2 linked regions of the Neodiprion lecontei genome follow. The protein of the gene in region 1 interacts with the protein of each later gene in a pairwise test. Links are inferred from orthologs where the notes say so. Each region holds a gene or a part of one and is shown in the gene's direction. Other genes may lie near its edges.

What was found.
Region 2: the proteins of hexokinase type 2 (region 1) and uncharacterized protein LOC107217150 interact in a two-hybrid assay, tested with the Caenorhabditis elegans proteins (2 studies listed by BioGRID). The link is inferred for Neodiprion lecontei from reciprocal best matches to the Caenorhabditis elegans genes hxk-1 and ZK829.7.

The regions. Positions count from the first base shown.
Region 1 is NC_060265.1:31,234,134-31,249,599, reverse strand, and holds the start of hexokinase type 2, read left to right. Parts: upstream 1-5,814; 5' UTR 5,815-5,991; coding exon 5,992-6,111; intron 6,112-10,020; exon of another isoform or gene 10,021-10,204; coding exon of another isoform or gene 10,205-10,231; intron 10,232-15,281; exon of another isoform or gene 15,282-15,298; coding exon of another isoform or gene 15,299-15,346; intron 15,347-15,466. Other genes in the region: BRISC complex subunit FAM175B, read right to left, coding at 1-37, 257-343.
Region 2 is NC_060264.1:32,213,835-32,229,991, forward strand, and holds uncharacterized protein LOC107217150, read left to right. Parts: upstream 1-7,988; 5' UTR 7,989-8,296; coding exon 8,297-8,358; intron 8,359-8,965; coding exon 8,966-9,703; intron 9,704-10,069; coding exon 10,070-10,487; 3' UTR 10,488-11,085; downstream 11,086-16,157. Other genes in the region: dynamin-binding protein, read right to left, coding at 12,822-13,013, 13,374-14,018, 14,097-14,279, 14,352-14,972, 15,366-15,515, 15,667-16,157.

The DNA.
Region 1 (15,466 bases):
TAACATAGACAAGAACTTCTCCCACCAGGAAGCCAATCTGTAGAAATACAAAAGAGAGTCACAGTAATGAAACACGCTTGAAACATAATATTGAGGATATGAGAAAAACATTTTATATAGCCGAAACGTCACATGCAAAGAGGTTATGATACTGGCTACGTTGAAATCTCCAATTTAACAGCACATAGACCTTGACTACTTACAACATATCGTTGCAAATTATTGTGTGGAATAATTTAGGGCTATTTCTTATTACCTGATCGCCCATACTTCGCACATTTTCGTATAAAAGCAAAGATAGGGCTGCCCCTGACACCGTGACAAGCGATCCGTTCTCTGCCATGTTTGAAGGACGCTGAATGAGCCCGTCTTGCGCGCGCATTATTTATTGCATACAAATTTCTCACCGTGTGCAGCCAATCGTTATAATCCCACGGTTGATTCTATGTTGGAATGGAATTTCTTGCATATCGAAAAAACTACTCTGATTCCATGAAGAGAAAACGCGAATGTAATATATGTCAATCAAGAGTCAAAAAGGTTGCCCCGGCGGGGATTTGAACCCCGGTCTCCCAAGATTATTCGGATAAGTCGGGCGTAATTACCACTATACTACCGAGGACAATTTTGGAAGGCGCAAACAAAGCTAATCAACGGCTCAAGGGATGCGTTTCACTGTCGTTGCGATGAACTTTACACGAATGTTGACTAATAACCAGCTTTTTGTCTTACATTTACAGGTAGCACGTTACCTAAGATGTTGTAAATACGTTCCAATGATGTATAACGTGGCAGGTGTCTGTCGCGGTCGGTGCGATTTTTATTCGTCATTTGACAGTATGAAAGATTAAAAAATGACGTAATGCAAGATTGTGCGCATGAACTGACTGAGAAACTCTACGTTGAGTTAAATACAGTCTCGTTGACGTTTGTCAAAAAGATGTTTTGACACTCCGTTGTGGATGTTTTATACTGTACTGATGGAATCTCCACAGATTACGAAATGAGTCGAGAAATCGACGACCAATAGTAATTCACCTTGACCACAGGTGTAGATGTAGGAAATAAAAAAGAATTTGCATCGGCCGGGAATCGAACCCGGGCCGCCCGCGTGGCAGGCGAGCATTCTACCACTGAACCACCGATGCCTTGAGAACGTTGGCGACGTTGCATTTACATGTCCATTTGTTAATATTCTGATTTGGGATTACTGACAGCCGGCAGAATAATGCAAGTCGTGGAGAGCAAAATGTGTGTTCGCATGTCGCCTGTCCGTTTTACTGATTTTGTGACGCACTGCATGTAACTGCAAGAAAAATGAAATCTAGGATAGCCGAAGGTAATAGTCCAGTCCTTATATCCAAAAAACCAACCCTACCCGTGAATAATTATTTAGTGAATTTTTTTTTCACAGCTGTCTCGAGGGGGGGGGTCACTGTCACACAAATCATGCTTATGCGTATATTCGAAAAATGGTTTTTAGTCTATAATGACTGGACTATAAGGTGAGTCCTGTTTGTGGGCCATGTACTCTGTTTGTTACAGGTACTGCAAAGTAAATTTGTGTTTGGGGAATGAAAAAAAATTGTCAGAAGTGGGATTCGAACCCACGCCCACAGAAGTGGACTGCGACCTGAACGCAGCGCCTTAGACCGCTCGGCCATCCTGACGTACGTTTCCAAATATTTGTAATGTTTATATGATAACGGTGTACCTTATAAGGTCATCCTTATACATTTCGGCAAGTTTCAGAATTGTCGCTTGGTTAAATGTAATTCGAGTTGTTTAGATGTTTTATACTAGACAACAGCCCTCTTCTTGCATGAACCTAAAAATGAAGCGTGTCCTTCTCAGGATAAAATGTCGAAGCTTGTACAGAATATACAGTAATTATAGAAATCTACATGTATGGTCGAAATGGTTTTGACATTCCGTTTGGATGACGTTACAATCAATGCAGATTCTCTGTGCGTACCGAATAAATTCAGCAGGCGTGAACAAATTGACCATAAATCACACGGGGAATATGCACGAGCGGCCTGTCAAAAGGCAAAGTTTTGCGTAACTTTTATCCAGTTTCTACAACCTGTACAGTATTACCTGGTCCGTTCCGCGCCCGGCATTCAAGCCCGACGGATCATACCTGCAATGCAAAAGGAAACGTCAGAGATTCGATCGAATCAGACTACTCGTTTACGTTCGATAGTTCACCGCAAGGAAATCATCATTCTTAGGGGTGCACGTGATGTGAGTGCGCATTGTTTTTGGTCGCAAATGGGCGCGATCGGATTTATACGATTTACATTCCCGAAGCGAAGCCACTAACGAAGTCGATGTTCCAAAAATACCCTTCCCCACGCTCGATTGATGTATTTCCGTCCCGTTGGCCCGATGGGGAGCCAACACGTTAGCCGTGACGTAAGTCGAAACGCAACGTAACGACTCGTGTGCCTGTATAATGATACCTCGATCTACGCTTGAGTTACGTGGTGCGCGTCGCGTCTCGAGGAAGAGGCGCATCCCTGTCGTTAGGTTGGCTTCGTCTCGCTGGCGGGTGGAAGAGAAACAGAGCCGAGCTCCGAGGAGCTCCTGTCTCGTCGTCGTGCTCTCGATTCATTCATCAATCGTCGCGCGTGATCATCGCGGTCCGCGATTAAGGGGAGGAGAGCCTGACCGTACCTCGTATCGAATACCAATACCGATAACACCTTCATTCTCGCGATCACTGTGACCAAGGCCGTCATGGAAGAGGAGAATTGGGATTATGTCAATGAAAAGTGGGAGCACGTCGGTCCAGCTGTGAGCATTTTTCATCTGATATAACAGTAATTATACCTAGCTGCGGTTTGGTGACTCGACTCGCTGGCGTGGTTGTACGCCATTCCTGCGTTACTACTGCAATCGGGACGTGTCGTACCGTCACCGATTCCGGTCCCCAAACTTCTACACGCTCTGTAATCCACGAAACGCCTTACGTACAAAACAATATTATGATCAGGTGTATTATGCGCGTTGTTCCACTGAACTGAATATCATTGCCATCCGCTTTGACTGAGCATCGAGGGCGCTCGTGTCACCTTGGTATTTGAATATAGTCCCGCGAGTTCTCTATTGCAATGTTCCGATCTCTCATTCGCCCGATCATTCGTTCCCATCTTCACGAGACGCGTCGTTCCTCTTCAGGGACAATTAATGCAACGCAATTAATGAAATTGCGTACTTGTTACCTTTATCCATAATTTTACGACGTGATTGCATGTAAGTACACGGGCTTAACATATACCGCGTATTGTAATTCGCGTGTGAGGCGTTAATAGCACGGGGGAATGAAGAGAATGGAAGGGGTGGAGCCGGCACATCCGCTCGAATTCGCCGTCGGCGTGCGTCTAATTGTAAGATGTGACTTTCCTATTTAAAAATGAACTAGTCTTTGGGTCTTTGGTCTTTCGTCGGCTCCGCGGAATTTCTATTTTTGATAGTCACCGACGCGCGTGTTAACGAGTGCCCAAGAGTTCCGTCACAAGGGTTCTTTCTGCAATCGAAGAGTGTTCGTAGCTAGCCCGTACCTCTAAAACCCAATTTACACGCCGCGTTATATTTCCTCTCATTGGCTGCGCTGACAACAGGCGAGGAATAGTAAAATTTTTCGCCGCTAATTCTCGTGATTAAAGTATTACAATATCGGACAGATTAAAAAAACGAAATGAACCGTCTCTAGTGATTCTAGTAATCCATACAATCCTACGAATTTACAAAATCATCGTCATAAAACTATATGATATAAGGTGATGCCGAATATAATATAGATCGATATAGAGTATAGGAAGTATTTCGCGAAGTTGTTATTGTCATTTGTCATGTAATAACTAGACTTTACAAGTGCAATAAAATCGCACACCCGTGGTGTTGCTTAGATTTCTGCACGTTAAACGGATAATCCCTATGATACTTATCATTTGTTGATGAGTCTGATACGCGGTCATTAAATTAAGACACGAGTTAGAAGAAACATGATGTCGAATCGTGCCCACATCCATTGTGGTTTCACTGGCAAAAAGGTGGAACTTTTCCATCGCATTGCGAGGGTTATACGGCTGCTTTATCGATTATTGGCAGATGTGTTATCCATTAGGTATATTGCCGATAAAACTCTTTTGATCAAATGTCGTTCATCGTACAGTATCCGCATATTGAGACATTGCAGAAATTCAATGCGACCGTTTGCAAAACAATATGGGTCATTTATTGCTGAAAACGAGTACGGCTGACGCAACCTTTTTCTCTCTTACTCTCCCTCACTCTATTTCTCTCTCTCCCTTTCGCGTTCGGCAACGAATAAGTGACCCTGAGATGCAACATACATAATCACTCGAGAAGTGCATGGAATTGTAGTTTCCAATTGCGGCAGATCGAGAATGAACGATTTTAAGGCATCACTTCACAACACCGGGTTATAACGGTTCGCCACGGGGAACTCGAGGCAGTTCGACCTGTTGTGCTATAAAAATTACTGCTCCTAAGATATATCGTTTTATTGTCAAATCGGAATGTTTCAAGGTCGGCTTATAACGGATATTGAAGTGTGCTGATAAGATTATAAATTATTACACCGCGCGCGAACAGGGTTTAGCTGTCACATTTACTTAGCAATAATGCTATATGTATTTATTGCTTATTTTACAGCTGCAACGTGATCTGACACTTGCCGCAACGAGTATATGCATGTATATAATTCGAGCTTATCCGGTAGTGCGAAAACAAGTCTCGATCGAATCGCACAGGGGTGGTTATAAATTGCTTCAACGAAGGAATTGTGCAATATTGCGGAACTGGTTTCGTTAATTGCTGATAATTTTTAATGATAATAAACTCGTGGGTCTTACTCAACGTCATTGCGAAAAAAGTTTTGTTTTTCGGTGAAAGGAACGTGAGAATTCGTGATTGACTTTTTGCCACATAGTTATAGACGTGCTGTAAGAAATATTGATAACGCATCGCGGACTATTTATCCTTTCAAGACTCAGGATAAGATATTGTGCAAAAATCAACCCGCCGATTATGTGTACTCAAAAACCGACTATCAAGGTACTGTGACGTATGCGAAACAAAATTGTTTTTTTTGTAAAGCTTTTTAAAGACGTAAACGGGGCCTCGACTTTACGTAATTGCATGCAACGTGTTCGCACGTACGATACACTAATTTTGTCCATTAATCACTTGTAATTTACCGAAAAGAGAGAAAAGCAAAGAGTACGGCTGAATCCGAAACAAGTTACGTGCTGTTCATCATATGCACTTAAATATCTACAAAACGTATAGTAAATTCTTCATCGGCGTGATTATTTCAGTTAAATGTAGAAGTCGGACGACATACCTGGAAAACTTGTAAATGTCAGGATCGTTTAAAAGGGGTCATGGAAAACTCAGAATTGTCAGGGGATTTTCAATTGAGTCATGGAAAAACTGAAAATATCAGGTTTCTATCGTGGGAAATGTCAGGAAAAACAGAGTCTCAGGTTCTGGAATATTTTCCCCAAACATTCGGTGGCAAACATGGGTGAGAATTGGGTAATATTTTGAATAGGAAGTAAGAATCGAGGGCCCTCGAGCCTCCCGAGCCACCCCCGTTGGATACGTGCGTGCAAACACACGCCATGGAATCGAAACAGGCCGTGAAACGGCTTGCCATTGGCCCTTGCACGGTGGGATAGCGAGAGACGGGCAGGTCAGGTTCTCCCCTCCCGGTACGTCCTTATAATATAGATTAGGTCCGTACCCAGAGGATGCTGCACACTCCGTTTTCAAACGCCGCGAGTGTTTCTACCCCGCTGTCTGATTCTTTGTAAGAATATAAGTAGCTGTTACTACGTCAAGCCAGATTCCGTGTAATACGCGCTGAACAATTCAGTGCATCCGAGACTGCATCGCCTGGTATTTAGAAACGTTGGTCAGATTAATTGGTGGAAGTGAAGTTACTGGCTGTCGGGCAATATGAAGACGAAGAACGGTTCGCTTCTGAGCAAAATCTGCACATGTTACGCGAAAAATGGCGAGGCCGCACCGGTTCAGAACGACGCAAACAACTCTTACAGTCCCGAACCGATAGACGAGGTAACGTTGATTCTTGCTTTTTCGCCAATTAATTAGATGTACGCAGGTACTTGATCGTCCGTGAGCCGAGACGATCAGCCGGCGATGATCAGTGACAGATGCAGGCAGCGGTTGCGCAAAACTTGAATCTCACGTTGAACGATTTCGATTGTTTATCGATTATTTTCTATGCTCCGTTTCGTTGAAATTCGCAGTGACGTGATCGATTAGGGGAAATAGTCGCGTTAAGGTGGACTTGAAAGATGATTTATTGCCAATTTGATTGTGAGTGCTGCGCGTGAAAAAAAATTAAACATTTATTCGGGTTGCAATTGTTGTACGTGTTATAAATACGTCGTGAAATGGAGCACGGACACTCGCCTGGAGAGAATTTGGTACGAATTTGTCAAAGTCGATTACACGGTTTATAATATATACTCTCACTGCATGGCCAAATTATGCCGGGCTATGCCAGGATTTCCTAATATTCGTATTTTTATTTTCTCGCGAAAATTTCCGGGTAAGCATATTGAATGAATCCGGGCGACCTTGAGAGATAGCGTTGACCTTGTATCTTGAACTTTCAGCCGGTGACTGTAGTCGTGAGGAAGCCATGCTGCAAAGAGCAAAAGAAGGCAGAGATGTGCGCGCCTCCTGTTTCCGCAAAGGCAATTGATCGACTAACTGTTTTACTTATTCACTTAATCAACGAGGCAATCGTTACCTTTACTCTAGGTATATTACACGCCGATATTCATCATCGGCATATCCAAACGTAACGAAACAATTTACCTTTTTTCGCGTAACAATATAACATATACTTATGTATACGAGCTTTCGTAAAATCCTACAAATGCGTTACAGGTGCAAACATCTCGGGCAAGGTAGAATTGAAATCACCACGTACACTTGTTAACAACTCTCCGGCTTTATCTGGACTTGGTTAATTAATGTAATTCCACAAATGTCGTAGTATTTACTAAAATAGTCCTTCCCGGGTGAGAATTTTAATCGTGAACATTTTTTCAAATACGTATCGCGAGTCATACGTATATCCAACCGGTTTATACCGATAGACTTATCAAATATTACCCGTGTTGCATAGGAAATAAAATCTACCCAGCTCTTGCCTTCATCTCTCTCTCTCTCTCTCTCTCTCTCTCTCTCTCTCTCTCCCTCTCTCTCTCTCTCTCTAAAATCCTCCTTCGACCCCACCGTTCTACCGATTCTCAGACACGTTTGATTTCCACCCTGCTGCACACCCACGTATCCGTCGAAGAATCGTCAAGCAGGCGACCTCTATACCTATAAACCATTCGACAAATTCACCCGACATTCGCACGCCTGTAATTAAGCGCCTTTCACTTTCGCCCGAAGGTTGTCAGCGTTATTCGACCAGTGGTCTCTTGGTCCTCGGGGTACGTTCGGCCTCTGTTACCAATTCCTGCTGTTCGACTCCGTTCGTCGCGAGGCAACAAGCGCCGCGCCATCGGTACACATATTCGTGTTTAACCGTCAATAAGTCCTGATTAATTTCGGACCTTGAAATGCCTACGCTTATTCAATAACGAGGCCTCGAGCCCTGCGCGAAATTTCGGAAGCCGATCAGCGATCAAACACACGAGGGCGGAAAAATCCATGAGGTAAAAGGCGGGCAATAATCGACCCGCGCGTCCTTTCATCGGACGACTCGTCGAAAAGGCGCCTGCGTGCAAGTTTTTTTTTACAGCTTATACAGCTGTGACGGTGTAGAATCTGATATTCGTCTGCAGTATACCCACGTATTGCCGCCGCAGTCTGTGGCTTTCGATCTCGGAATCCTAGCGACTGCGGAATGTAAAGGGTAAGGGTAATATTTCCTGCAGATGTAACGAAAAGATGAACGTGACTGATTTTTCGCCAAAATTGCTCCAGTCCATCCCCCGTTCGTTTTCAATTCGCGGTACGTCGCGAATACTCTTCACGGCTTCGTATCGCGTGTACCAATATCTCGGAGCATCGGCCCCCGCGCAACGCAACGCGTGGCGACTTGTCGCTGGCGAACGACGCCGTCGGATATACAGCGAGTCGTGACCGAAGGTCACCTTGGGACGGAGGAGCGTCGCGACGCCGGGGATCGATATCGAAGTTGACGATCCGCATTCCTTGCCAATCTCAAATCCCACAGGTACTAGCTCGATGTTGGTGTATTTTCGATCGTCGCTCGAATACCGAGAGTCATCGTATGCCGTCACGTTGTATATGTGGTCGCAATATCGGATTGTGAAAGAATTGTTTGCCGTTCGTTAATCGCTCTCTTAACAATTGCTACACCTTCACGGGACCGTCTCTGTACGGATCGATATATTTTGGCTCTTACACTTGACACAATATCCCGCTGTGGTCATCGTACAATTCCGTCGTCGCAAACGACGGACGGCTGGCATTCGTAATAGTGCATATACCTACCTATGAATACGTATAATTATACATTAGGGTGACGTGTTTAATATGTATAGAACGACGCTGACCACTGGATGTTGTATTTCATACGTTACATACGGCGTGGGGATTTCAGTTTTACGAATCGTATGTAACGTTGGCTGGCTCACTGATCGGAAGCAACGCGTGTTCAGTTTTTACGATATCCTCACGTGCCGACCTCTGCGTTACCTACACAAGGTGTACAAAATTCAAGTTTACAATGAATCGGATTCGGTTGACTGGAAGAATACTCTGCCGTTAGACCGATCACTTCTGATCGCAAGACCGCTTATACCTATGTACGACAAAGCAAGGTAATTACGAAAGACATTGGCGAGAAGGAAAATCTGATTTCCAATGATTTTCGTCTTTACCAACGGTTCTCTTCGAAGTCGACACAGGTTTATTACTTGTACCTCAACGCCATTCTATAAATTTTAGTTATTACGATTCTGTAGGGTTCGATTCGCGGATCGAGAGCGTCGCTTTATCTTTCCAACTTTGATCGACTCGGAAAAATTATGTTCACACCGACGTGTGCGCAATCAGTAAATTACTCGATATCAGTCACAGAAAGTCTTCCAGTTCCGTGCCGTTCGTTATATCGTTGATAGTTGCCTCTTGTCCGCTGTCACGTATGTACGTGCATACGGTACAGTTATTGGAACGATATATGCTGCGCTCTTTTCCTTTCGAGGATCACCTACCCGCAGACTTAGAAGTTCACGTTACGTCAAACGGATTGGAAAAGTGTCAATTATACGTCGTTATTGGTCAAACGTCGCATCCCTGCAGCAGCACCTATAGACAATTTGTTTACACGGTCGCGTCTGCATTGGACGATGATCAACGGAACGACGAAACATTGGTTCGATCTATCGATGATCGGTAATTAATAATAATTAAGCAGCGACAGTGATCGTAAATAATTATAGATATCCGTCGCGCTCTGCGCTGCATCGGCGGACGATCCTCGGATTTTTCAAAGGCAACGAAACCTGCATCACGATTAAACGAATCGCAAGTGCGGCATGTCGGGCGAGGGCAGCGCGTTGTCTCAAAGAAAATCCTACTATTCTTCCACGTTACCCGCACGTTCGACTCTAAGGTCGGACTGGCGAACGAACGAACAACCATTATTAATACCTGCCTAACTGCCTGCATACGTATATAAGGTCCTGTATATAAGACACGTCGCGTTATTTTAAAGCCACCGTGGCGTCCTTTCACCGTCGAGCGTGAGACGTGTGCGCGAGTGTGTGTGTGTGTGTGTGTGTGTGTGTGTGTGTGTGTGTGTGTGTGTGTGTGTGTGTGTGTGTGTGTGTGTGTGTGTGTGTGTGTGTTCGTGTTTGCGCGTCGTACGTACTTAGGTGCGTACTTCCCTCCCTCCCTGCCTCTCTCTCTCTCTCTTCGTTTTCCTTCTTCTTCGTCTTCTTCTTCGTCTCTCCCTCGCGATTATTTCGGTTCACAGACTTGCGTCGTTCGCCGCACGAGTCGCACGCTCGCGTTTCTCGGGTTAGTTTCGCAACTTGCATTAGCCGATCGTGCCTCGACGTCGCCGGACCACCGGATACCCGAAACCTTACACCGCACACCTTACACCGCACCTCAGCACGTGGAAATTTTCAAACGGAGGCGAGGAACACGCATCATGAAAAACACGACGCCCGAACAACTCGTGAGTCTCTCTGTCTAACTCTCTAATTGACGACTCGCCTTTCCTTTTAATCGAGGCAAGAGGGGCAGGGGAGGGGGCAGGAAAATTAAGCAAAAACCCGTCGAAAGGTATAAACGCGCGTATAAACGTTCGCGCGGAAATCTGCCGTTTTTTTCTCCTTTTTTCATTCCCTTCCACCTTTCGAGCTACAACGCGTCGTCTAACTGCGCGGCAAAAGCCGACGAAGAGTTGATCGTAATCAATCGAAATCAACATTATGCTTAACAATCTTATCTTGATGTTACACGCCTGGTATAAATCTCGACGTCTGGGCCCCGTTCTCTCGGATGGCGACGTCGTTGTGATTGTTGTGACTCTGACGATTTTATAAATGCATAACGTATTACGTATAAAGTATATTCTTAAATCCCCGATCTCTAATTTAGCTCGAAATTTCTCGACAACGAAACAACGAGGTACAGCAATGACCCTTATCCTATTCAAATTTATAGGTAGACTTATCGAAGGTCAGTTCAAAAGTCGAGGCTGGTATACGTGATTTCGGTCATCGGTATAGGATCGATCGTTTGGCGGTAAGAATTTTGCGACGGACAGTGCCGACGCAGACCGCGTGCCCCTCACACATATATGCATATTTTTACCAGTCGCGCAGCTTGACGTCAACGCCCGTGTTGCTTTCAGCTGATATTAGCCGAGAAACTCTGTTCAGACTAATTTTCAACAGTCCGCGCAACACGCGCGGTCGAGAAGTTGAAAGAAGAAAATCTTAATCCCGATCCCGGCGCGAGAGTTATTCGATAAGTCCTCCCAAGAGTACATGTATTATTTGAATGATGTATTTACGAAAAATATGTTCACATTATACAGATAACATGATATGCGTATAAATAATACAAATTATGTGCGGTCCATCGTGCTGTATCCGAAACATGGCGTATTATATACCGCGTACGTGTAACCATAATTCTACGTAAAATGTACAATGGGTCTTCGAAGGCGTGTAGGTGTAATTAGAACGCACGCTCGGCAATATACATACATGGGTACGCGCGCAACGGTGTGTGTGTGTGTGTGTGTGTGTGTGTGTGTGTGTGTGTGTGTGTGTGTGTGTGTGTGTGTGTGCGTGAGACACCGCTTGGAACGTTCGTACACGTTTACAGTTCGCGCCTTCAACTTCGACGCCCATACCTACTTGCATACTGATCTACCTCACGCATGGTGTATACTGCGTCAATAATCATAACATACGCGGTCTGACACGTTTAGTTATACTAAGAATGACCGAGGTTAATCGATTTTCGATGAAATCACATATTTTTCCTAGATTAATCGAGTATAATTGATTATTTTTTATGGTAAATTAATCGATCGACTCGATGATTTTACCTCACCATTGGTTTCCGTTCTTTACTCCTATGAACGACGCGATGCGGTATTAATTTATGTGATCAAAGTATCAATTAGCATCATTGTCTTACTTACCAAGTACCTTATTTGATACAACGAGTGATGGATAAATAAATATTTTCACCTGAAATTGAAAAATGGTTCGAATGAAACTATAAATTGAAAAAAAAAAACTTTACCGCTATCAAGACTGCCTAATGAAATTTACGAAATGTTTGTTTCGTAAGCACCGTTTCAAAAAAAAATACGAAGTAATCGATTAATCGATTCATTTTTACCGATTCAATCGAATCGTGTTCGATTATTATCATCGACTTGATTAATCGACGCATCGGTGATTTTTAGCTCATTGTCAGCGTCCATCGCTAGCTACATACCAGCGTTATGCCCAGGCCTATTCGCGAGTTATATTCGTAAATTAGTAAGCGTGGTACGAAGGATGCATCATGTTGTTCCATATGATTTTGCGAAATAATATTTTCAGGACTTCTGTAATCGTGATTAGATTAACGAACTCACTTAAGTTTGGCCGCGAAACAAAGTCATTTTAGTTTGATCTTTCACTAATATTCGGCCTTTAACCAGCTTCCTGGTCGTATAGGTATATAATTTATTTGATACACGTATTTTAATATTCATCGTTGATTCTTATTGTCCCTTTCTCTTCGCGAATCTTTACATCCGACTGCCTATGTATATAACACATAAGTATAAAATTCCCGTAAATCCGCATTTTTCAACCGTACACCGCAGGGATATCGAACGTGTGTGCCTTACAGGTATACGGCGATTGAATTATGCATTCGACGATCTTATCCGCAGCTTGACATTTTATGTTATAATCATAATTGATCTCGGGTGCGAATGCTCGAGGCCAAACCTCTACATATCCATATACAACCGATGGTAACACGAAACAGGGTGAAACTTTCAACGTTTGCAAAACAAACTTGTCGCTTAGAGCCTAAATGCACTACAGGTATTGCAATTTGATCGCAGTACATAGCTGCCTGGGTTGCAGCAAACATGCTTACAGGTTGGAAATGTTATGCGGTGATCGCTTTATCAGTCGTAAAATTCAATATTATACTGCCTCTGTTCCTGTAATCCTACGACTGTTACAGGCATTCGCGTGGATGCAAGCGAAACTTTTACACTTTTACGCCGTCATTTTGCCCGTAATGTATAGACGATCGTGAACGCGATCCAACGCCTAGAAATGTATGTGTAATAAAATGGCATACCTAATTTCCACGATCCTATGGATGAGAGGCAGGGCAGGCGGGGGTTAGATCGACGAAAGGCCGATCAAGGCCGATTATTATCGCTGTTTTATATTCCGGCCCAGCGTACTTTCCAAGAAACCATATCGTGACTCTTCTTCGTTGCTCTGCATGGCAAGGTTCAAATTGATCACCGGTTACGCAATTAACCGATCACGACGTATGTAACCTATGAAACAGATTCCAATTTCTGCCACTTTACTTATTTCGTTAGATCGCTAGAAAATCCATCTCTCGTACGGTACAATAATTGAATAAAAATGCATGCGATCCCTTTGGAATTTTTTCTCAGAGGTGTATAGGTATATATGATATGGAAACGAAAAGTATCTAACGAAAATTAAGTAAATCCGTAAGCATGCGAGTACAAGGAAAAACGTTTAAGATCGCGTTGGAAGAAAATGATAATTTCGCGCCGGGTGCTTCCTCGTATAATAATGTGCATGTATACGCGCGTGTACACGGCGAGTCCGCGGTGTTAAATAATAATTTTCGCTAGCCGGATACAATGACAAATCGGTATTGCGGAAGTGTTTGCCCTCGCGGCGGCTGCAACAGTTATTTAAAACAAGTACTTTTACAAGAACCGGTATTGCGATTCGGAAATCTGCGACGTTAGTTTCAATGCTGCACGCTGCGTGTGTGTGTACAAACGCGAGTATAGGTACGCGGTTTCGTACGCCTGCGAACCTATATTCGATTCAATGTGTGTATATTATTTCTATGCGCCTACGTACACAGGTATACGCACACTACGCAAACCGGTTCGATGCGCGCAACTATGTATCCAGTTGCGTCATTTCTGTCCTGCGATGCCGCGACGTAGGAGAAGATCCGCGTATGTACCTTCCTGACCGCGGGTTGACTTTTTTTCTTTTTAAATCTTCTCCCTCTTCCGTGTGCGTAACTCATTACGCTTATGGGTTTACCTCGTGTACGCATTATTTTCTCTCGCAATTTTTGTTCGCCGACTTCGCCAAACATCACGTTTATAATGTAACGCTGGATTTTCACATGAGTTTTTCATAGTTTAATTTGAATGATTGTTATTGTGGAATACAGTAAATTGAAAGGAGATTGAGTTTCCTCGAAATTATGTAGACAAATTTCATGCCTACGGTGAGCATGATTTTGCAGCTGAGTAATAACAAACATGTAGTAGTTGAACGTCAATGAGAAACTTTTCTTTTGTACAAATGATTTTAAACGATTGTACCAAAATATCGAGATAAAATGTTTTCCTGATATTCTCAGTCACTGTAAAGTTAAAAGCTCTTTACACATTGTTATTGCCATTTCATAATTTGATACGCTTATTATTCATCAGCCGAAGTGGATAAGAATGAAAAATATTTATGCCTTACGCCTGCGCGCAGTCAGTCAGATTTGGATACAGAAACACCTTGCGACGGGTAATAAATTGTTTATTTGCTCAGCAATCCTTGCAGCAAGCTCTGCTGCTTGTGTACATGTAACGGTTACATCGAAGAATTAATGCGCGTACAATTTCGTAAGAATTCAACGAAGTACTAGGTCAGAATTTGAGAAAACAAAAATGGGCTATGCATAAAACAAGCGTCGACTGCGTCGAGTCGGGTGAACAATGTCTGCGGTTATTACTGCCTAACGCCCGGGCTAAATGCCTGTTAGGGGAAGGTAATGATCGGTAAAAGAGAACCGGCGGTGCAGGTCGAGGCGTAGTAAGTGGTTGTGGTTTTTATTTTTCAACATAGCTATCGTACGAAGAAGTCGCGCCGGAGATATTTGCATTATGTTAACGACTCGGATGCTAAGTGACGGTTAAGCACGTCAGTTATTTGCATTTCGGTAATCGCTGCAAATTTAATTTCGAGTTCTTCAAGTGACCGATATGCCTGATGCAGAACGAAACTACCGTCGCGAATCGACGGATCGTTGCTGCAGGCCTGGAACAAATGGGTTGTGAATGTACATTTAATCCCGATTCCGATCTTCAAAATACGTGGGGACTTGAGCCGCGCTCGATTTCAAGGTCAAGTTCTCACTCCTACGCACTCGGAGTGAATTCTCGCGGGTTTGATCAAGATCGATAAATTATTCGGTCCCAATTTCCGTACTACCATATCGCGCGTCCAATTGCATAATGGCGTAAACGCCGAATATTATTATTGTTATTCTTATCATTCCGATAATTGACGATTTGGACAGTTGACGTTCAGAAAATCGTCATACTCACTGTATAACTTTGTTAGATTCAATTGTTTACGCGATTCGTTAGTCTTTGGGGCGATTACAAAAAAAAAAAAATAATAAAAATTGCGGTTACGCCCTTTCGTTCTTGTCATGAAGAATTTTTTCACAACATTTCTGAATTTTCGCAGATCTCGATTGATCCACGATGCGTTTCAACGGTTTCCAGAACGATTGCAGAAACAAAACACAAAATGTTTGTTACGACCTTCTCTTTTGATCTTTCTTCTTCGTGTACCTGTTAATGGAAAAAGGTCGTATCTGCCTTACATACGAACATTTGTCTTTATATTGTCAAACGCTTAATTTCGATTGA
Region 2 (16,157 bases), on another chromosome or scaffold:
GGTCTTCATGTTGATAACTCAGATCACCGAATCGTGAGATGAAGCACGTATGCAGTACTGATAAAGGAACGGTGTATTGGTTAACTTTAGTTGTTTACACTACGTTCTTGCTATGCTATTCTATAGATAAATCTTAGAAATAAGTTATATTTCTAGAAGATAAACATGTTACGTTAATTAATATTTAAAAACCCCGCGTTTCCGCATCAGGCGATCGCTTTTTAACAATAGCCGCGGATGGTTGATTTAGTTGATCTTTTTTTCGAGCGCACAAATTGAGAACATCCATTTAATTACAATGCGAATCCCTTGAGCGTTATTCAGGAACGTTTATCAGCATTTGCTGGAGGCAGCAAACAGACTTATCGTTAAATTTTAATCATGATCCGACATTGTTATAATTATAGTATCAAACAACGACCCAATTACGCGTGTAAACGTTAGATTTATAAAGAAATTCGACATGGTATTTCGGTGTAGTTACTTCAAATACTTTACGATCTGCGAATTACTTTAATCCAATTTTTTCGCTACTGTCTTTAGACGTTTGATCGACGACTTACCCAGAGACTTATCGATCACTCATGCATAAACCGACCGTCACTACGTAAATACTACTAATCCCGCTGTGGCAGCTTAATCATTGTAAACAGGACTACTGTATCTGACGGAAATCAAAGAGTAACGCAGTATTATTCTTTCCTGCGAATCGCTAATTACCTCTATCGGGAACGTGCTTTAATTAATATAAGGACAAACATTTTGTGCACGTTTATTGATAACTATGCCAGGGTCGTTCAGTCGATAAACACATTTCTTTATGAGATAATCTGATTTCAAGATTGGATCGAAGAATAAAATTATAGCGATTTGGAGGATCAAGCAGTTTTATATGTTTATTGTCAGAGAATCCGATTGAAGAAAATTGAAAAAGCAGATTGTAAAAAGTCTGTATCCGCGATGGATAATATAACCCAGATTTACGATCATGCTTAGCACACCATTTGTGATCTGATGGCTTTTACTGAATGGATTATAATCGTTTTCTGATATCAATCAGTTTCAGTCATTCTAATTGATTCGCAATGATGGACAGTATACGTGAGCATCCTTCGCTTTAATGGGCCGTCCATTTTTCTCACGAGAACCCATTATATGAATCGATACGATTACTACTTTCGAAAAGTATAGTAGCACATAGAATCGTTTTCTAGTTACTCAATACAGCAACGACTGCGATGTTGAGTCGCCGTAACGGTAAACCAACAACGTACGGATAGTTGTAAGAATGAGCAGTAATCACTCATCAGTTTGGTACGTTATCTTTGTAGGTTCGTGACGATGATTCAAGGCAAACTTGGCAACTTGTATGTGTTTAGCATGCAGGTGACGTCCACCTGAAGGTACATACAATATTAATAAACGGGTTCATCCTAAAATTTACGTAATGCCACGGTTCCATCCATGAGCTAAACGGTTCGTCAAAAACAATTAATTTGGTGCCAGCTGGGAACCCATTTTTTTTTTATTTCACAGTATGAAACTCCCGAGCTTCGTAACTAGACGAAACCTATCAAAATACGAATCCGGTACGTTTTGCACGGTGGAATTTTGAAACGTTAAGAAGTCATTAATTTCCGATTTCTTTTTCTTCTGTCTCAGTTTATCTTCGCTTTGGACTTTCAACTTTGAGTTCTTCATCGTTTTTTAATATTTCTTCTCTCTCTCATTTCATTCATCACTCATCAGCATTCGCATTCTCATCCCTGGTCGCGTTTCTTTCTTCCGTTATGTTTATCATACTTTTGGCAAGCGGGAAAAGTTAGGCGCCAGCTGCGATCTAAATATCACGATGAAAACTGTACCCAAGTATAAAAGCCGTGCAGATTCGCGATACATACACACACACACATGCTCCGTGGTATAAAATCTACGTAAAATCTGGGACTGGGGCTCGTTTCCTCTCTTCGCGGTGTAGGCGATAGCAACGGATGAGCATGTACCATGTAGCGAGCGAGGTGACCGACTCACAGTCACGTGCAGGTTCGATGCTGTTCACGTGATCGTGGCATGCCTTGATCATCGACCGTTTCCCCTGCTCGGCTCTTGCCGACGGCTGGCGTTGCGCGGCACACAGGCGTTGCACCAAAAACGAGCAAAGAGCAACACCTCGCCGTTTCAAACGCGTATAGTAGAATATGTTTTTCTTACGCCGGGACGTTTGCTTCGCTCTTTATTCAATTTTTTCTTTTCTTTTTTTTAAATCTTTTGTCCTTTAGTTTGTTCTTTGTTTCACAGATAACCGTTGTTCCAGATTCTTCTCTTTTATTTCATCACTTACAGGCACAGGTGATCGCGGTGTCGCTTTTTTTTTTCTTTTTTCATAATACGACGACGATCGTGTTATACGATCATAAGTCACCTTCGTTTGTTTCTGCAAATGCACTTATCGATATTTGTTATACCTTACCGATTTTAGGTTATGTCTGCAATTACTGAAATCGTGTACAGAAACGCGAACGGAATTTTTCTCGATGAATTCTTTCTCGCGTATAATACGTGTATTTTCTCTTCGATCATCATCTGGCAATTGTCCATTTTTTATACAATTAAATTCAAGGTATACGTTTTTACCGTGATCAGTGATCACGTTGAGCAGACTTGTTTGTTTCACTTTCCAATGCCGTGATGTTCGGATATTTGTGAAATGTGGAGCAAATGATCATTCGAAATGATAACACGATCGCTTTAATCGATGATCACAGTGTCGAAAAAGCACTTACGCTTTTTGTTGACACTAAAACACAGTAATCCAGGCATCAAGCTTGATACCGTAATGCTTTTTAATATTTATATTCCAAATTTGCATGTAACGGCCCTTGTAGAAATAATGCTTTCTGTACTTTTTATCACACATTTACCAAACTTGGACTTCTAAATTTTTTTTTTTTTTCTCGATAGACATTTCCAGGTGTAACTAACTGAATTGAAATTTCCGTGTAACCCAGTCTTATAAAGTTGTCGTCCTTCGCTAATTTTTTGAAACTGTTGAGCGGTGATTCAGACATTAGACTTTGTACCATAACACCTACTACCTGCAGCTTTATACATTCGCTGATGTACAGAGTGAATCAACAAATAAGAAACATTCGCAGAATCTATGATTGTGGAACTGACGTTGCATTAAAATAAATCCCGTTGATTAAAACATCATGCTCTCAGTTGAGTCACCCTGTATATAGATGAAATATGATGCGTGGGAAGTATTGACAATAACATGGCGAGAGTGAAGGAGAAAATTAGGAAATATAGATACGTAGAATAGAGAAAAGAAATTTGGCTAGATGAGGTACGAAAATTTGTTAACATTTCTAAAAACTTTTAATTGTTACTGATAACCTTACGGCCAGTTTTTGTAATATCAATTTACGCTCCGCGATGATTATGTAAAGGTAATTGCCTTCCAGTTTACGTCACTGCAGTTTCTTTTTTATATTATACAGGTATACTCTGGTTATAGAATTGCAGACAGTTGGATTATGCCGGACAATTGATGCACGAGGAAATCGAATTATCAATATAAATACAAATAAATAGTATATAAATAATAATCGCGATACGTTGCATTTAACAATATAATCTATTACAGGGTATTCGGATGATCGAATATTTTGCACGTGATAATGAATACGTCTTATCTTGTTGAAGCGCTTTAGGATAAATTAGTTTTAAAATTGTCATTACTCATTTCCAACTAATTTCCATGCGAATCCGCACGTACGTTTATACAAAGCAATTTCTACTCTACCTATTAAACGTATTGTGGTTTAATTTTAGCCCATAAGCTGAGACTGAATGTGTACATGAATATGGTAATTTACCAACGATTTCTATGTTGGTATTGGTCAGTTTTGCATTCTCTCGATTCGTTAATAATCAGTCAATTGTAAAATATACAATCACTTTCACATTAATTGAATAATTAGGATAATGCGATTTCGTTTCCTTCTCTCTCTGACTGTTTTCTTTGTGGAGCGTTCCCCTTATTTTCTTGTTTTATTTCTCTTGCTTTAAAATCCGGGGAAAACATCTCTTTTTAGAATATTTGAACTACAGAAGAGAGCGAGGTCGTAGTTCGGTGTATATAAACACATAATTCACGCGCGACTAAGGATTTCCCTGCAAACAGCCATCATTGCGAAAACAAGGACACAACGTGCCTACATTTTAATTATAGCTTTGCCTGAATGTGTACACATCGCAAGCCATGAATAATATGTATATAACACAGAAACGTCGGTGTCTTCATTTTGAGCGGAAAAATTATCAAGTTGGAAATAATATATAAAGCAGATGGTTGTTACGAGTAACGACCCTTGTTTTAAACTATGTACTATTAATACGTTTGCGTATAAAAACCAACCTCTATAGATATTTCGTGGAAAGAAACAACTGCGGAAATAAACATCCGACGGGATTTTATTCTTGGATATAATATTACACGAACTGAACAGAATACACATTCAATTCCAGATTATTCCACAACTATAATTGAGCGAAATTTCTATTTAAATTAAAAATTGAAATACAATACCGAAAATAATATGGAATTAGGCAAAGGAAACTAGACGTGTTTATTTACTTCTCATCGAGTTAAGAACGTAAAAATGTATACATCATTTGAGCTGCGTAATTCTTGGTATATTCTTTGATCCATACTTTTTCAAAGAATAATTGTTTAGTTCAAAGTGCTCAATTTTGCGTATACACATTACACTGCCGTGTTTATTAACGCTTTTATGACACGGTTCAATTTTGTGTCATACTTTCGAGTTTTTTCTGAATTCTATTCCAGCGAGAGTCTATTGTATACATGAAAGCATGTATTAACTACCGAGCCAAGAGAGAAGAAAAACACAAAGGAGAAAAAGAGAACCGGCGACGGTTGAGAATACACAAAGATCGTTGTAAGTATTAACAAAACGTTAAAATTTTAACCGACGAACATAAGACGGTGAATATTTAAAAATTTATTTTTCCACCCAGTATTGTATAGAATTACTTTCCCTAAGTCACTTATCGACGCGAAAATAATGGCAGTAATTAATATCGATCACTCTGATGCTGTACCCAAGTTGCGTATGAATTCAACGATGTATCACGCATTGGATACACCACGTGGCTGATGTAGATGTGTATGAGAATTACAATACAAACAAAGATACACTTGACACGTTGCGATGTTTTGCAAATTTCGCCTTGGCCTTTAGAACCGCCTTATATCCACGTGCCGATTGTGTACTTGAGTGAAAAAAATTCGTAAACAAGTTACTGTAAATAGATTTGGAGAAATAAGGAAACAACTGTGATGAAAAAGATATCCTAATCACGATAAAATCGATACAATGAAGGAACGAAAAAAATAAACAATAAATATCGAGAAAACAAGTTATCACCGTTTGTTATTGGCTATAATTTTTTTCATTTAGAATGAAGATCCGAGAGATAAAATCGCAGCTATGGGTGGTACTTGTTTAACAGTGTTGAAACCAGTTCGCAATGATTAACAACCGAGGGGGGCGTGATTTTGACAAGTTCTCATTCAATCTAACGTTAAAACTACAACGGGCAGCTTGATGTATAATTATAATATACGTATACATATAGGTCCACGCAGCTGTAGAGTAAACTCGAATATCAACGCGAATTTATCACTTTCGTCAAGGGAACGCGATAACGATTCTGACGTGAAGAAAATAATACGATAAAAAGTTTAATTTTTTTTCCCCCCAACTTATCAATGATTGAAATATGTTGATCGTTCTTCCGAGAATCTCCACCTGCCATCGTTGTTACAATTCGATTTCTATAATATATTTATAACGATTCACAGTTACGCAACTTCCTTTCGCCATTAATCTCTCGGTATTCTATACCTGCACTGGATTGTCGTAGGACTTCCTTCCCTAAATATAACCTCCCTTATATCCGTCTATATCAGTTTTCCATACCGTTTCGATGATATAATGCAATTTATTATTGGTATACTCGACGTATTTAAAGAATGGCTAACGATCGTTGAAGTACAATATATATATATAATAATTCTGTAGATGAAAGCGCGTAGATAATATATATATATATACGAATTATTATACACGATTCCGAAACGCAAATTGCTATATAATAGCTTCCTAAATAGATCCGTTTGGAACGATGGCCCGATATATTCACGTTCTTCTGAATAGAATAAACGATTCTCAATCGTAACCTGCATCACCGAATAATTCACATCCGGTACATATAACAGGATGCTTGCAATTACCTCAGCACTGAGACTGAATCGAATTGCAAATGATTAATCATCGGTATGTAAAAACGTAAATATTACGTTTCAAGACTGCACGCGGGTATCGACCTGGCTATTATAGGTATACCCACACAAAATACTCTATTGATAATTTTAGAATTATTCGTACACGCGTCCGATCTAGGTGTAGGTACACGTCCTTCCCAGACGGCGTGGCGCTAGCCTAAAACTCGATCGGCCTTTCCGTTGAATCCATTCTTTGGTACATAACGACGAAACACTTCTACACCTAGAGTTGCCGAGGCATAATATATTTACGGTTATACGTAGGTATGTGTAGGTATGTATACCTATAGGTGAAAAACTCTGAGCATTGGCACGCGTCCCGTCCGTGGACGCCGGTCTTTCTAATTCCGAAAAACCGATCCTACATATATCCTAGGTCCCGTGAGATCAGGGAGAGAAAAGCGTTATCAAGGTTTCTCTAGATATGTCACAGATCCGAAAGATCGAGATTTCAAATGAAAAATGAGGGGTAAACTGGCGGGGAAAGGAAGAAAAGTAACGAAAATATCATACCTAAGAATATGGAGTTATCCTAGAGGGACGATACATCACCATTGTTGCGAGTGATGACAAATTCTGCCGCATTCAAGCATGCACGCGTACACAGCCTACAGAACTTTGTGTGTATTACGAATTTTGCATGCCGTTTTAGCTGTGTTATGCAACTATTACTATGCTCGAGATTAAGGGGGTGCCCTGGTCGATTTCGTCGTTGGCGGATATATCTCCTAAAAAGGTTTTAACGTCCCATTCTATGCGCAATTCTGAACAAAAACACTACGATACATCTTCATTTGACGCAGAGATAAAGAAATGGCACGCATTCTACGAAATCGCGATGGTAAATTCGTAGAATTTAAGCCATTTATTTATTTCTACGTCAAATGAAGATGTGTTGGCAGTGTTTTTGTTCAGAATTGCGTACAAAATGAGGCTGTTAAGCCCTTTTTAGAGTTTGAGACACGTGGACTCCGATGTTTGGTGATATCAACTTTGATACAGGCTTCGTTATGTAATACATGCCTAAAGGTGCAGGATTCTGACCTCAGAGGATTCAGCTGCAACAATGACCACGGCCTTCTAGGTAAATGCATATATTCTTTGACACATATATTACTGATTACGACGGACGCAGGGATCAAACAGGAACCTAAAATGCTCCCAAAGAACGTTTCGAATGTTTTTCAAACAATTCATCACACGGATGTGTGAACTAAACATTATCGTTGTGACGTCTATTAGCGTAATATGAGGATATAGGTAGGAACGGATGACGTTATTTTTTAATATCGAGTTGTGAAAAGGACCTAATTACTTTATTCTAACTCGATCCTCGCGGCTCGCCGCATAATTTAGTATCCTTGTTCGGCAACAGCAGAATTTACCCAGCAGTATACCAGCTGTTGGCTGCCTACGAAGAGAAAAAGAAACGCAGTCACAAACACAGGCGCAAGGTTTTGGAAGTATCGAGATATGCGGAGGCACGTCGTGTGAACATTAACCGAGCACGTGGCCTGCGAGTGTTCCATCCACCACCAGTTCCTCTATGGGTTGAGTTGGGGCGTTGCGCAGTTTGTTGGGAGGTATAAAAAGGAAACGGAGCGCAGCGCGAGCATTCAGATGTTCCATGTAACGTACCGCGAGAGGTGTGATACGCTTTGTGTAAAGTGATCAATTTTCCACGAATTTGTCGCAAGACTAAATAAAAATAACTATTACTCTTTCGAATCTGTGAAAAAGCACGCATCGCACATCGCGTTATATTTCTCGTTTTTTAAACGGTTATTACCGTAACACGGAAGGGACGCCGTCCTTTTCGCTGTCTATTGCATAGTTCTATTGTCTATTCGCTGCAGTCTACTACCGGCTAACTCGAGGACTGCACCAGTGGCTTTTGTTTTTCTTCTTCCTCTAAAAAAAATGCCTGTCGAACTTGTTCCCGTTACTCCATTGGCTCATTGCGCAGCTCGTGAACCGCTTAGGTACGTTTTCGTATTTCGAATTTTCCCCCACTTCGTTTTAAACACATCGCAAGTTTGGGAAATTTCAATAGAGCGTCAATTATTTTATTCGAAATCCTTAGTATTTTTAGCTTTACGTATCACATGCCTAATGCACTAAAGTATAAGGAGGGTACTCTATGCTTCGGGTTTCGAAACATTTGAATCTTGGATAAGTAGCGTGACCGAATAGTTTTCGAATGTTTAAATTATGGAACGTCATCGTCAGATAGCTTTCACCGGCGACTCTATACCTTCGGAGAAGCGTAGAGATTAGTGTTTCATCGACCGTTAATTTTCACTTCCTCTCAAAAATGATACCGCACCGTAACTCGCAACTAACAATAACGCGGATGACGAATAAGAGAGAAATTAACAGAAAACCCTCGAAATAGTCAAGTTTCGAAAAAAGTCCGCGAATATTTCGAAATTTTATCTTTTATACGTTTTATATTTTATTTGTTTACGAATTGATTTCTTAAACGGTATATTCGTGTGAGATTTTCCAAGACCTTGCTATAAAAAGAAAACCATTAATATTTACCAAATGTCTGAATTCTGGATCAATATTCTCTCTTTTTTTAAACAGGGAACCACAACCTCGCAAGATGAATAAATTGTGCCGCCAAGTTTCGATTGAAAGTCCTGGACTAGCAGGGCGAGACTGCGTCTTCAGCTTTGACATCCCAGTTCCAGACGTTCCTGCGAATGGTGCTAGAATCAGGGTGGTTTGCGCAGGAGCGTGTTACCGGCCTCGCCGTTCTCCAAGCCAGACAAGTCTAACGTCTGTATCGAGCACTGGAAGCCTGCTATCGCAGGACGTTTCACAGGAGGGTGACTTACCAGTGAATCTACCTCACTACGGGGTCAGAGACGCAGCCCTTTTCCCTGGGTATGAAGTCGCTGGAACCGTGGAGTCCCTAGGTAGCGAGATAAAGGAAAACTGTGGTTACGCAGTCGGAGATAGAGTCATTCTTTACCCGTACGACGGAGTTCCCAACGGCTATGCAGAATATATGGTCGTCCACGACTTGAAGTATCTCATCAAAATACCTGATAGCATGGAACTCAGCGTCGCTGCTATGCTGCCCACCGGTGCTCTCCTGGCAATGAACACTGTCTTTGCCGCCCACGAACATGTCCAAGCTCTTCTCGCAGAGAGGGGAGACAACAGCGTCTGCAAGATCCTCATTGTTGGTACTGGCGGACTCGCCCTTTGGGCAATGAGAATCGCAGCTTATCACTTCAGCAATATGAAGAACAGAGTTACCATCACCATCGCCTCACTCAAGGATGACGGACTCATGATGGCTAAGGAATTCAAACGGTTGGTTTACCACTTATTTTTTACGCTCATTAAATGTGTTACCTTATCTTTGCCATGATGTTCAGGTTATTTTCAGCTCAAATTTCACTACCGTTTTAGATGTTATCGCTCAGCTTTATCGTGACTGATTTTAACGAACTTTTACAATCTTGATCAAATATTATAACATTTTCAAGTGGCTTGAAAGATTTTTTGATCACTTTTTGCTTAAAATTTCACGAAACAATTCCTCCTTGGATTTTTAAAACAGATATCACTGCTGAAATGAACAGATTCAATCTGGCTACTTGAAATGAAAACAGGTACACTAAATACAAGCTCTGAATGGCTTTTGACTAACCGTTATCTTATTTTTATCAATCGCAGTGTGAACGTTGTTCAATGGAATGAAGATTTGTACGAGAAGCAGTTGATAGAACGGACGATGGATGCGTGTCAGGGTCTTGTTGACGTTGTAATAGACTTCGGAACTACATCACGAAGCCTTCACCGCAGCCTGCAATGTCTTGGGAAGGGCGGTGTAGTCTTCGTCATTCGAGAAGTGGCTGATCGTCTTTTGCCAAAGTTCAGCAGACGTGCAGAGGAAAGGCAGCAAAGCATCAAGCCAGTTGACCCTGGTTCCTTGCAACAGCTCGAAGAACTTGTACAGTTGGTGGCTTCGGGACAAATTGAACCTCCTCCACACACAGTTTACCCTGCTGAAGAAGCCTTCGATGTTGTACAGAAGCTATGTCATTCCGAGATCCAGGGAAGGGCGATTCTCCGCTTTTATCCGACAGATTAAGGAGTGGTCGATGATATGCCCTGGAGAGAAATCTTGTTGATTTGCTTAACCGATCAAGTCTCTCACGTTCAAATGAGAAGAAATTTTTAATCGTTCCTATGTGACTAGTTTGGAGAAAAATGTTTCGTCGTTGCGTTATGAAGAAACGCATTTATTTACTTGACGCAGTTCATTTCATCGTCATTTTTTTCTTTTCCTTAGGAAACTGACTAGTTTTCCATGAGTATCTAATAATTGGCATCAAGCAGTTGTAGCCATTGATAATTTATCTCGGTTTTTTTTTTTTTTAGATCGCAGTAATTTTATAATTCTGTTTTATTGATATGTTTTAATTGTAAGTGTACTCGTTATGGTCATGATATTTATAGCTTATCATGTGCAGTAGATTTATTTTTTTGTACCTCGAATAAGACTGTTTTACTAATTTAAGATTACTTTTTTTTTGTGTCAATTTATAATTGTATTTTTAAGAAACCCTGACGACTTAGCATTTAAGGAAATGTATTAGTATTTACTGTCTGTGTTACTGTAACAATTTAAGTGAATATTATATGCCGATAAGTGATAGTATGATATAGTAAATGTTTTTTTTTAAATACGTTATGAGCTTATTGTTTCTTTTCTCCATTATTTCAACTCCTCCACTTCACTGTCACTTAATCTATCTTACATCCTTGTGCCAAGTACAGCACAGTCAGAATATTCTACATTCAGTTCTTGAAGAACAAGTTTTTCTTTCCCTCCAATCAAGAGGACGCAGTGATAATTACTTGAAAGTATAATTTTAATTCACATGATAATTCATTTAATTTCGTACACCTTAAACTTTGTAGAATAACGCATCAATTGAATTGTATATATATACTATACATATACATACCCCAACACATATGCATGTAATATACTATATATCGTGTATGTATGTATAGCATAATAAGGTGTATACGATAAATTCAAATGTATACATTCATCAATTTCTTTTAACGCACAAGAACAATTCTCAAAATTCAATCATAGATCGAATATAATAACAATGATAAAATAGTTTATTACTTTGAATTCTTAAAATCTGGAGTTATGTAAATGGCACGAGTCAAAATATACAACTAATAATCTACAATGTATAACTGTTTAAAATCTTATTATTAATTATAAATGTATAGTTTATCTAATTATTGTTGGCTGAACATATAAACATTTATATATTAATACAGAGTGATCCGAATTATTCACGGACCGTCCTCTGCTTTATGCACTTAGGTATATGTATAGTCTGTATAGATTTTGCAAAATAAACTGCAATACAGAATATCTACGCCATATAAATGGATCACTGTACTCCCTCATTTTATTATAATCCTACATTATTCCTGCAAGCTGTTCAGCTTGCGCATAATATTTACATTTTGTAATCTCTATACGTCACATAAAGCTATTTCCTAGCCGAATTATTATTTTTTATTTTCAAGATAACGATAATCTCGTTCATAAATTACGTTTCTTCAAATAGGACATAAGATAGCGTTATCAGTTATACCAATATAATATTTTTCGTTATTTTAAGCTTTATATTCTATTTTCTCTTTCCAAAGGCGATCAATTGTCTTTTGATAAAAGTATGAAATAAAGAAACAGCAAACTAAATAATCTTTCTCGTGTAATACTTGTTGAACCGTGGTTCAACAACTCTGTATCCGATAAAACTGTTAGGCATTATGTAATACAAATAGCTTTCGGTTCAAAAGATTATCGATTAAACCATTAGAACCCTGTACGTATTTATTATACAACAATACTAATTACTGAGTTCATTAAGTCACTCTAGATTGGCAGGAAATTGAAAAATCTCTCATAGAATATGATTGATAGTGAGGTAAAGCCCTACATAAGTATAAAGTTCACATTGCCGACATTCGGCAAAAATTTGATACTCAGTTAACGTATCATTAAATTCTTCAAACATCTCCAAAAGTGATTACTTAACCAACTATTAAAGTACTATACAGTAGTATTTGACTAGGCATTGAGAAGCCGATATAAAGATCATGAAAGTCAAAAACTATGGGTAAATTATTATACAAACATTCAATATGATAATGAAAAATATGTAACAGGTTCATTTGTAGATATAAAATTTCTCGAGCACATTTAAACAAAACTGCAATAGTCGCAGTCCTCTATTACTTTTTTTTATGAGGCAACAATATTCGGCGTCCTTGTAATCATCTATTTATAATATATACATATATGTAAATAAATTTTTTTTATCATAGTAACTTGATAATGGTGAAATTTCTTGTATTCATTACCTCGTTTTTTCACGTGCATTGTCACTCATATCACTGCTTCAGGAGGGCCTAGATAATTCTTAGGAACATAGCCAGAAGCTCCAGAGCGATCTTGAACCAACCACCAATCATCGTTTTTCATTTCATCACAAGGCCTCAAGAGTCTTAATGCCTGGCCTTTTTTTATAACTAATGTGCCCTTCATTCCTCCGTCAAAATTGTAGAGCGCGTAATAATACTGCAACAATATAATGATACTTGAAATAACTCTCACAAGCATAGATACGCGGGTATTGGTAATGAAAATCTGGCGCTGAGACATCTGGTGGCAAAAAACGTATTACTCCAAACGGGCCATATTTAATTTTAAAATACCTCTGTCATTGGATTTTTTATAGCGTAATAAATACGTGGGATAAAACAAAAGCCTCACAGCTTGCACTGAATTGTCCGTACTCTTGTATTCATATAATTGACCCAAAACCACCCCAAAACCATCCACTGGCAGTCCAATTCTCGGCGCCATATTGATTAGCAACGCCCTCACATTCATTCCTAATACATAGTTCAACTCTCTTTGACACAATACTATACGTACAACGTTATTCAAATTTTGGTAATGTTGCAGGACACTGGTACTACCAGTCGTGGTATCGTTTTGAGAATCGTCAACAGCATCATCCAGGTTTTGATAAAATTGCGACTGCCTTTCCGCCATCGAAGACGTTTTATTTTCCTTTTCTGGCGAGTCCATGCAGATGAGATCCGGTGACTCTGTACGGGTGGCTTCTGGCGAGTCCAAGGATATGAAATCCGCCATTGTGTCTGGACTTATCGATGCCCTATTTCCATTCGTACTGTTGACGCTTGACGTGCGGTGCAGTACCTCTAAGTTTTGGCTTGGTAGAAAACCTTTGAGTGCTCCGTTGTCGACAAACCATCTTGTCGAATCTCCCATTGGATCCTGATTCTTAATTACAGCCACTATGGTGCCTCGTTTCGCTCCCATGTCCAAGGAAGATGTGCTTACCACATTTTCTTTGACTACGAACAATCTGTCCACAGGGTATTTGTTTCGTAAGAGATTTCTTTGCCTCTCGCTTTGTTCGTTCCATGCCACCTGGCTCTCCTCTATCCGGGGATTCGAGCCGGCAAAACCAAACCGAGTTATTTGGTTCCAGAGTAAATTGTGACTTACTAAAAACGACTCGAGAATATCCTGAGCCGTTATTTGAGTTGCCGTCTGTGATTTGAAGAATTAAGAAACAATATATTTACAAAGTTCAGGGAAGTTACCACATTTCTAAATCTCTCAACTCACCTCCGATAATGCTAAATAACGTTTGGTAACTTGTCCACTAAGGAGTTTTCTGGAGTTGGCAAAGGCGCCGAAACAATTCACCAGTATTTTAGTTGATACATTGATCAAGGTCGGGAGTTCCTCTAGCAATTGTTCGTTGAGTGCCTCGTAGTTGCTTTTTGCGCGAAGTAGTTCGTCCTGAAACTGCAATCAGTAACACGTACAGAAATGTCATCAAAAATATAGTACTTAGAAAATATATCAGGGAATAATTACAATCTTGTTATCTCTGTTCTTTTCGTTCTTGGAAACTGCGACATCATAATCAAGGAGTTTGTCGTATCTTTTTTCAATAAGTAGCGCTGGGCCTTGGAGTAAGTTGATCAAGTGGTTGAGAGGACTCGAGACTCTTCTTTCCAGGCAAGATTTCAGCTCTTGTAAATAATTTGACCATATGACAGAGCGAGTTTCGTTAAATTTCCTGACCTCATTGTTAGAAGTTCCTTGGTAATACTGATTTATCAAATCCGATATTAATTGACCGCTGACAGATTCTTCGCCTAAGTAAACAATGCACTGCTCAACATCCCTGGCCAATTGCCAGGTTGATTTTTCAACAGATTTAAACTGTCTTTCGTACTCATCAAAGTCAGTATCAAGTGCTATGTTTGTCAGTCCCAACGAAGCAGAAAGCTTTGCACTGAGTCTGGTTGACTTCTTTGCCACGGAGTGCATGTTCAATTTAGCCATTTTTCGCATCAACGTGTTCTCACCCTCGAAATACTTTGTCACCAAGTCTTTGCGACGTTTATATTCGTTTATGTAGCTCGCAACGTTCGTCATAGCTCGCCAAGCTTCTTCTATTTCTGGTTTATCAGGGTGGTCATCTTCTGTGCACTGATAAAGTTAATATTTATTGAAAACCACTGCAGGATTCAAATAGATTGAGTTGAATGGAATTTATTAAATTACAATTTAATAATCGATAGTCAAGACTTAATTTCTAACTACAAAAACATCCTCCACATTCTGCAAGGTTTGCTGTATCTTTTCTTCCGTACGTTTTGGAAAAAAATTACTTTTTTGCATTCTAATAAAAAATATGGATCGAAACTCGTACGGATAATTTTTTTCACTCACGTGTTACAGCACTCGACTTCGGTGCGTGCTGTAAACCTCACGTTTCGACAAAAAGCCTTATCCATACTCGTTACGAAATGTACTGTTAGATTCTTCTCTAATGGTATTGCGACTAAAATGTATAATGAAATATTACTAGCAGCATCTTACCTTCACAAGTTCGTACAGCATCAAAGGATATTTTAATATTCTTTGCACAGGTTTTATCAGAATAGAACTCATGTCAAAGCAAGCTATCTGATGGCGCAATGTTTCGATACCCTTTTCAAACACTGCCATAATTTCGGAGTTATTCTCGTACTGTATTGAAAGAGAATTTGAATCACACTCATGTAGAATACATCACTTATCTTAGATTAGAAGAGTGTTGAAAACCGTCAATTGAATCTATCCTTTTAGTGGTAAAACATTGATCTATTACTGAAAAGTGAAAATCAAGTTGTGAACATACTTTTTTCAATAGAGCCAACGCAGCCTCGTGATTGCTGCAGTATTTGACGTAGACCATCTGCAGTTTATCAGACATTTTTGAAAAGCAGGGTCCAATGGTCTGGTATTCCTCGTCGCACCCTTTCATTGCCGACAGCATCTTGTCCAATAGATCCTCGGCAATTTTAATCACGTCCAGCATGTTTCCGAACAAAGTAGTCACATCTATACCCCGGGATTCGAGCATGCTCGGATTATACAGATTAAAAGTTTCGTAAGTCATCTTCAAATCTCTAACGTACTCCTTTTCCGTTATCACCAGCTCAGTTATGACGTTCTGTCGATGATCGGCTTTCTTCTGTTTGGCTTTAACTCTACTATCCGTTTCCGAATCCTCCACGTCCTCGACAGTTTCCTCTTGAGCCTCGACAGTCATAGTTTGTCGTTGTAGCGGGACTCGGCCCGGCGCTGGAGCTGGAGGTGCAGGTCTATGCGGACAGGAGAGTCTCTTGC